Linked DNA regions of Tribolium castaneum. The protein of the gene in region 1 binds, or shares a complex with, the protein of each later gene. Links are inferred from orthologs where the notes say so. Each region holds a gene or a part of one and is shown in the gene's direction. Other genes may lie near its edges.

Evidence for each region. The genes of interacting proteins can lie anywhere in the genome.
Region 2: the proteins of probable inactive tRNA-specific adenosine deaminase-like protein 3 (region 1) and tRNA-specific adenosine deaminase 2 are in contact, whole or in part, in a crystal structure (PDB 9HMM), measured with the Mus musculus proteins. The link is inferred for Tribolium castaneum from reciprocal best matches to the Homo sapiens genes ADAT3 and ADAT2. Residues at the interface, in NP_001094076.1 of Mus musculus: Val217, Ala218, Pro220, Leu221, His223, Ile229, Asp230, Ala233, Gln236, Gly237, Glu270, Ser272, Pro274, Val276, Val290, Met291, Met294, Ala295, His298, Ala299, Pro311, Asp312, Leu318, Phe319, Val321, Arg324, Asp326, Leu327, Asn328, Pro349; in NP_080024.3 of Mus musculus: Val62, Asn63, Lys66, Asn67, Ala68, Thr69, His71, Met74, Ile77, Leu81, His85, Pro91, Cys107, Ile108, Met109, Ala112, Ala113, Leu116, Met117, Arg130, Phe131, Val137, Leu138, Ile140, Asp144, Leu145, Pro146, Asn147, Thr148.

Annotation. Positions count from the first base shown.
Region 1 is NC_087396.1:13,020,117-13,022,894, forward strand, and holds probable inactive tRNA-specific adenosine deaminase-like protein 3, read left to right. Parts: upstream 1-1,231; coding exon 1,232-2,185; downstream 2,186-2,778.
Region 2 is NC_087396.1:22,588,632-22,592,786, reverse strand, and holds the start of tRNA-specific adenosine deaminase 2, read left to right. Parts: upstream 1-1,344; 5' UTR 1,345-1,474; exon of another isoform or gene 1,475-1,498; coding exon of another isoform or gene 1,499-2,032; intron 2,033-2,126; coding exon of another isoform or gene 2,127-2,278; 5' UTR 2,279-2,330; coding exon of another isoform or gene 2,331-2,364; 5' UTR 2,365-2,376; coding exon 2,377-2,895; 3' UTR 2,896-3,823; coding exon of another isoform or gene 3,824-4,155. Other genes in the region: uncharacterized protein LOC660305, read left to right, coding at 69-186, 233-472, 522-605; Smug (single-strand selective monofunctional uracil DNA glycosylase), read left to right, coding at 1,499-2,032, 2,127-2,278, 2,331-2,364; Hexim (protein HEXIM1), read right to left, coding at 3,824-4,155. UniProt on the Homo sapiens protein: Probably participates in deamination of adenosine-34 to inosine in many tRNAs.

The DNA of each region.
Region 1 (2,778 bases):
AGTGAATAACACTGACTTTTTAATGGGAACATAAAAATCTTGATTTGTTTTCTATTTAATGGATTTACATAATTTTTAATTCATAGTCTGGGTAATGGAAAAACCAAGTTTTTATTTATTTTGTCAAAATTGTGTGGAAATAAAAGTCCATATAATTAATATAATACTTAATATATATAATTAATTATCATTCCAGTTTGGTTCCAAGTCTTTAATTTTCTGAGACTAGTAACTTTTGAATATTTGGTCAAAGTCTAATGTAAGTATAGCTTATTTGCGATAATATTCTATGACTTTTATCACTAGCGCTGTAATTAATTTCTTTTTGGAGTAAACAGGTGAAGACCAGAAGTAGAAATGTTAATATTTATCACATGTAAATATAGAAAGTGGTGTTACTCGAAACGTGCTATTGCAAAACTGCAAAACACGTAAAAAAAGAAGCTTTTTCTACAACTGTTAGAATTATCGGTTGGACCTCTATTATTTCGTGTTGGTGTTTATACAAATTTAGTATTCTAGGGACATCACGCAGATAACTTATTAATAAGTTAGGGATTTGTGTTTGAAATAACATCTCTGATATGGATATTGATTATCATATTTTTACAACAGAACTGTTTCGAACAATTGTTTTAGACCAAAAACGGTATAGATTTTATACCGTAAATATGTATTTTAGGCTTTCTTTATTTACATGCTAGTGCTAGCCAGTGTTTGTTTTCTTTTTCGTTTCCGATATTTTGCTGTGTTACATTACGCAAGGTTTCCCAGTGGTTGCGAAATGATCAAAAACGAATTTTCCGAAGGTTGCGAAACTTGCGCCGGTTCCAAAACATGGGTTGGTCGATCTTAACGACCCATCGATTTGCAAACAAAAATAGCCAATTCAGTGTTGGCATCTTCTCATGTTATTAAAGAGCCGATCCATAACGGAATCACTTGAGACATCCCTAAAGGTTACACGTGCCCCTTATTACATTCTCGTAACGAGAATCGCATTTAATTGCTCGTCGACGACATCAATCTGAAAGGATACACTTTCAATTGTTGTCAGCGAATTTATTAGCATTTATTTATAGAAGAGTAAGCAAACGGAGTAATGTGAACTTGTGGCAGGTGTGGCGAGGTCGATGAAGATTCGGAAGGAAGGAAAATTGTGTAAAACATGTCACAAAGTTGGCAAAGCCAACAAAGTGAATGAATCTTTGTGACGCGTCTGCAAAAGAAAATGAACGAAGCGAAAAGACTAAAATTAGAAGTGTCAACGAAAGCTGCGTTAACTCCAGTTTTAGCGGACGATTTAACCCAGGAATTGCCACTTATCGAAGTTTATTTAGCCACAATCAAGGACCCCAAAACCATATCCAGGGTTGTAGTTGAGTTGAATTCACTGTTGCCAGTTCCCGAACTCACTCATCTGAAGCGAGTCAAAGGGAGGGAAATTCTACTTTTCCCCAAGGAAATTGTGGAGAGGGATAATGTCACAAAATTTTTGTCTGGAAAAGGGTTCAATACCAACCTAATTGAGAGTGACATCAAAGTGGGGAAAGTGGCCCAAATCGCGCCAAAAGTGCGCAAGCAGTACGAAGTGGTCCACAAGCTGTGGCCGTGCAATTTCCACAGCAATCCCTACCTGGAAAAGCTCAGCACGAATTCGCTTTTCACGCAAAGTGAGTTGGAAAAGCACGCTGAGTTCATGAGGATTGCGATCGATATTTGCGAAATCACGGGAGTTAGGGAGAGTGCAGTTGTGGTTGATCCTGTTGGTGGCACCGTTGTGGCTTTTGGGTTCGACTTGACCCAGGAATACCCTGTCAAGCATGCCGTGATGGTGGCCATTGACGAGGTGGCAAGGACTCAGAAAGGAGGCGTCTGGGAGAGACACCAGGACTACGAAAAAATTCAGACTTTCGTTGAAACGAAATACAAGAATTTGGGGTTTGGGTTCAGCAATTCGGCCGAGGGTCCCTACCTGTGCACCGGCTATTCCGTTTATTGTACCACTGAACCGTGCATCACTTGTGCCATGGCTCTGGTGCACAGTCGCGCGAAACGGGTTTTCTACGGTGTCAAAAGTGCCAAAGGTGCTTTGGGGAGTTTGTGCAAAATTCATGTAGTGGAGAATTTGAACCATCATTACGAGGCGTTTTCCGGACTGTTGGAAGAGGAATGCCGAGCTTGACGTTACCCTTAATTTGTGTACAAGCTGTGGGATTAAAGCGAGTGATTCCTTGACCTCTATAGAATAGATAGTCGTTAAACTTTTGTTATACGAGATAACGCTCGCTTTGATTACAGATATTGACAGAAACATTTTATTTGAAACGTCGTGTTAGTCGTGAAGTGCTAGGTTTTGTTATTATGGAGCTTTCGGTGAGTTGTAATTGGTTTTGCGGTAATGAAATTTTGCGCCGAAACAAGTGCGTCATCAGCCTTAGATAACGTAAAATTTGTGCACTTGTCCAAATCACGCTTTTGTCGCGTTATGTAAGGACGATTTTACTAAATGTAGCATGTATTCATGTTTGTTTTATACTTAATTGTATGATAAAAACTGTATGCTTACTGTGAAATATATTTTTTAACTCGAATATTTGTTGATTTTCATTTCATAATGGTGTGCTAAATCGCAAAGGTCATTGTTGCAAATCGCATCCTTTTAGAAAATTTGCGTCAATGTTAATCAAGAGATACTGAAAAAAAGTGATTTGGTTTAAAATGTTTCGCGTAGTAAACAAATCTTGAAATAGAAAAAGAAATTAAACACTAGCCAAA
Region 2 (4,155 bases), about 9.6 Mb from region 1:
ATTGTAATATAAGAAAATACACTCACGTACAGATAAATTTGGTTTATTCAGCTCGTAATAATTTTCAGGCTGCATATGAACATCCACTACCTGGAGCGTCCGTTTCGTTGCCACTCGTGTTCGGTCAGTTTTCGCACCAAGGGCCACTTGCAGAAGCATGAGCGAAGTGCTAGTCATCACAACAAAGTAAAATTTGGTTTTTGTTTTGTTGTGTTTTGATTTAGTTTTTTAGCTGTCGTCATCGCCTGCTTTGTCCTCGTCGGAGCCTCGGCCGTTTAAATGCGTCGATTGTAATATAGCGTTTCGAATTCACGGCCACCTAGCGAAACATTTGCGCTCGAAAATGCACATCATGAAATTGGAGTGTCTCGCGAAAATACCGTTTGGTTTGTACGCAGAGTTGGAAAGGTCTAACAGTCTGTTGACGGAAATTAACACTGCTGATGGGGACCAATGTTTAGAGAGCTTAAAGGTTGGTATCAAGCGACGAATCGGCGAGTGGATTAATTGTTCTGTTGCAGACTTTAGCCAAGAAAGTTTTTATCAACGATCCAAATAAATTAAATCAATTGAATTCAGCGGAGAGTATAGATGCCGATAGCTAGGTAAATTAATTTAATTTTGTCAAGACTGAATCAAAATCTTAACAAAAAAAGAGTATACATTTTATAACACTATAGTAGAAATTAAATATAAAAGATATATTTTAAATCATCTCTCATGTGTCAAATATGTTATGTGATATATGAATAAGCTAGGTAGATGTGTTGGAATCATGTTTTAGTTGGCGGCGATTTTATTTTTACATTTTGTTTTTATATGCAAGCGACTCCCAATCGTTTTATTTTTATTTGGTTGTACAGTGGGAATCAAGTTATTTTATATTTTGATCTTGTTTTAAGATTATCTTCCTTAAGTTGATATTATTACCTGTTTTTAGGTATTTTACATAGAGACATTATTCTTAAGTTTTAAGTGTTGTATAATAGACAATGTTAAGATAATTTTCATCGTTGTAAATATTGTTTATGTTAGGCAATTTGTGTACTGTTTGTAGCTACATGAGTTAACACACTTCTGTAATCTTCGAGGTTATGAGATTCTCATTTGTGCCAGACACTCAGCTCTATTCTTTTTTAAACTGTAGTCTTGCAGGAAATTAAACTTCTTTTGTGCAAACTGTTAGTTTATATTGTTGAAAAAAGTACAAGATTATTATAATTGTTATTGATGAAATTTTGTTTTAAATATAACTATTAATTTTCCTCTGCGTTTTATTTAAACAAATGACTGAAACACCTTCCAATTAGTGCCATTACACATAACCATCCCAAACGTTGGTATGAGTTACGTTGGTACTCCTTTTTACCAAATTACAGGAACCTGTAGTTTTAATTTATGTTTACCAAACAAACACGAAAATTGCCTTCTGGAGCCAGAAAAGCCGCAAAAATTGATGGGACTGATCGAAAAGGTTGGTAGTTTCCGCCCCTTAACCATGCTGAAGCGCAAGCTGTCCAAGCCGTCCCTTGATAACCCCCTTAAAATCGCACGTGCCGACTTTGCCCAAAAATTCCTGGACATCCAGCTCGAACTCAACACAGCTCTCAAGCCCCTCCGGTTCAAGCCGCCGGTGGCGTACGTCTACAACCCCGTAGAGTACGCCTTCAAGGCGAACGAAAGCTACGTGCGCAAGTACTGCCAGGGCCCCAAAAAACTGCTCTTTTTGGGCATGAATCCCGGCCCCTTCGGCATGTGCCAGACGGGGGTGCCTTTCGGCGAGATCAAGTCGGTGCGCGATTGGTTGGAAATCGAGGAAGAAGTCGGTAAGCCGGAGAAAGAGTGCCCCCAGCGCCCCGTTCTGGGCTTCGCCTGCACCCGCTCGGAAGTCAGCGGGGACCGGCTCTGGAACGTGCTGAAAAAGCTGTGTGGCAGTCCCGAGAATTTTTTCAAGAATTGTTTCATTTATAACTATTGTCCGATCGCTATGTTGAGGAGCGATGGGGGCAACTTGACTCCGAGGGACATCAAGGTATTTGCTAACTTTGTTCAAAAATTAAAAAAATTTGCTTTTATGATTTATCTAATAATTGTGCGAAATTATTCTGTATGTATTTTTGTTGCAGGACACCCAAGTCTTGGAGGAAATCTGCGACCGCCACTACTTTAAAATCATAGAATTGCTTCAGCCTGAAATAATTATCGGGATCGGGGAGTATGCAGAGAAGCGGTCTTTGGCCACTTTGAAGAACAACAACAGCAACATCCGGGTCATCAGGTTGCCCCACCCGAGCCCCCGCTCGAAAAACAACCAAAACTGGGCCGAAAAGGCCGAAACTTTTTTCAAAAACCACGACTTGCTGAAATACATGACTGATGGAGCCCCTACTGACCAAAACTGAGCAGGAATTCATGGAGCGAGCCTTCCAGCACGCCTACGAAGCCCTCGCAGCCCAGGAAGTCCCAGTAGGTTGTATTTTTGTCCATAATAACACTGAAATCGCCTTTGGGCGCAACACAGTCAATCAAACAAAAAACGCAACAAGACATGCGGAAATTAACTGCATTGAGCAAGTGACCGACTATTGCAAAACAAATAATTTTAATTTGATTGATTTTTTTAAAGGAGTGACTGTTTTTGTGACCGTTGAGCCGTGCATTATGTGCATCAATGCGTTGTTTGACTTGCAAGTGCAAACTATTGTTTTTGGGTGTAGGAATGATAGGTTTGGGGGGCGCACTGTGTTTGATGTTGCGGGGGTTGTGCACCCGAAAACTATCATTAAAGGGGGCTTTAGGGCCGACGAGGCTATGAATTTGCTAAAGGAGTTTTACAAGGGGGTTAATCCGAGTGCCCCCCCTTCTAAGGTCAAAGTTAGGGGCAAAAAAACATAGGCTAAGTTTTTTACTGTTACGTTTTGATACGAAAAGTTGTTTCCTTAAGAATAAATTTTAATTTCTGTTTCACTTAAACCGCAACATTTTTATCAAATTGACTGTTTCTATCCCAAAAATATCACACATCCAACTGTCTAAAAACCCCAAACTTCCTATGCTTTTAACAATTTTTTAACTATTTGAAGGATAATTATTTTTTTTGCACGTTGTTGTTACATGAATTTAATTTTTAACGAAACTCGCTCAGAAATTACGTTTCCGTTTGAAAAATGTACTAAACCGATGGAAAAAGGCTAAAATAATGCCAAAATCTAGAAGAAACGAGTGATTTTAACGCCTCACTTTTTGGAAATTCGCTAATTCTGTTTCTGACTAAAAGGCTTCAGAAATCTTTGTGCTGTTTACGTAATTTTTTAAATATTGTTAAATCAATAAAATACTTACTTTTCCAACTTGCTTGGGCATTTTGAACTTTAGGGTGCGTGTCACCCTGTAATATCTCTCCCTAGCAGCGGCAAAGGTTAAAAGAGAAAGAATTCAAACGTCGTAAGCGTCATTTTAACTTATTATTTATGCAATAATTTAAATCTAGATTTCTTATCTACAAATTTCAATATAAAAACGTACATCTTTTATAAATAATGATATAATACAAAAAAATGGCCGAACCTGTGGAACTAATAACATTTGAAAGAAAAAACCGACTAAGTAACTATGGAGGACAATGTATAAGAGTGTCTATTGTGATGCGATGCATGTCCATAAATAATCGAAAAACGAAACGAAAAACCTGCTCGAAGCACTTTACACTTACTGTCTCTACACCTAACGAAAACAAAACTGGAATCGAGAACAGCCCTTTAAAATTTAGGAATGAAACAACACTGGTATTAAAACTCTCAAAACTCAAAAATGAAAGCCCACTTCAGACGGTTTCAACGCTCGCTGAATGGCCATTAGTCTGCGAGTAGTCGAGCACGGGACTCGGCGGCGCCTCGGCCGAGCAACAGCTGCTACTACTACTGCTCGTGCTCGAGCACGAGTCGTTCGAATCCGTCTCGGAATCTTCCGAATCCGAACTGCAAGTCTTACTACGCAACGCGGCGTTTTCGCGTTTTAAAGCTTCGTTTTCGATCGTCAGTCTTTCAACTTCGCTCTGGAGCTCCACCGACGAGCTGGTGGAGGTGACCTCTCTTTTGCGTTGCCGCTTCGTCAGCAGCTCCAGTTTGCTCTCGAGCATGAGGTACTCCTGGATGA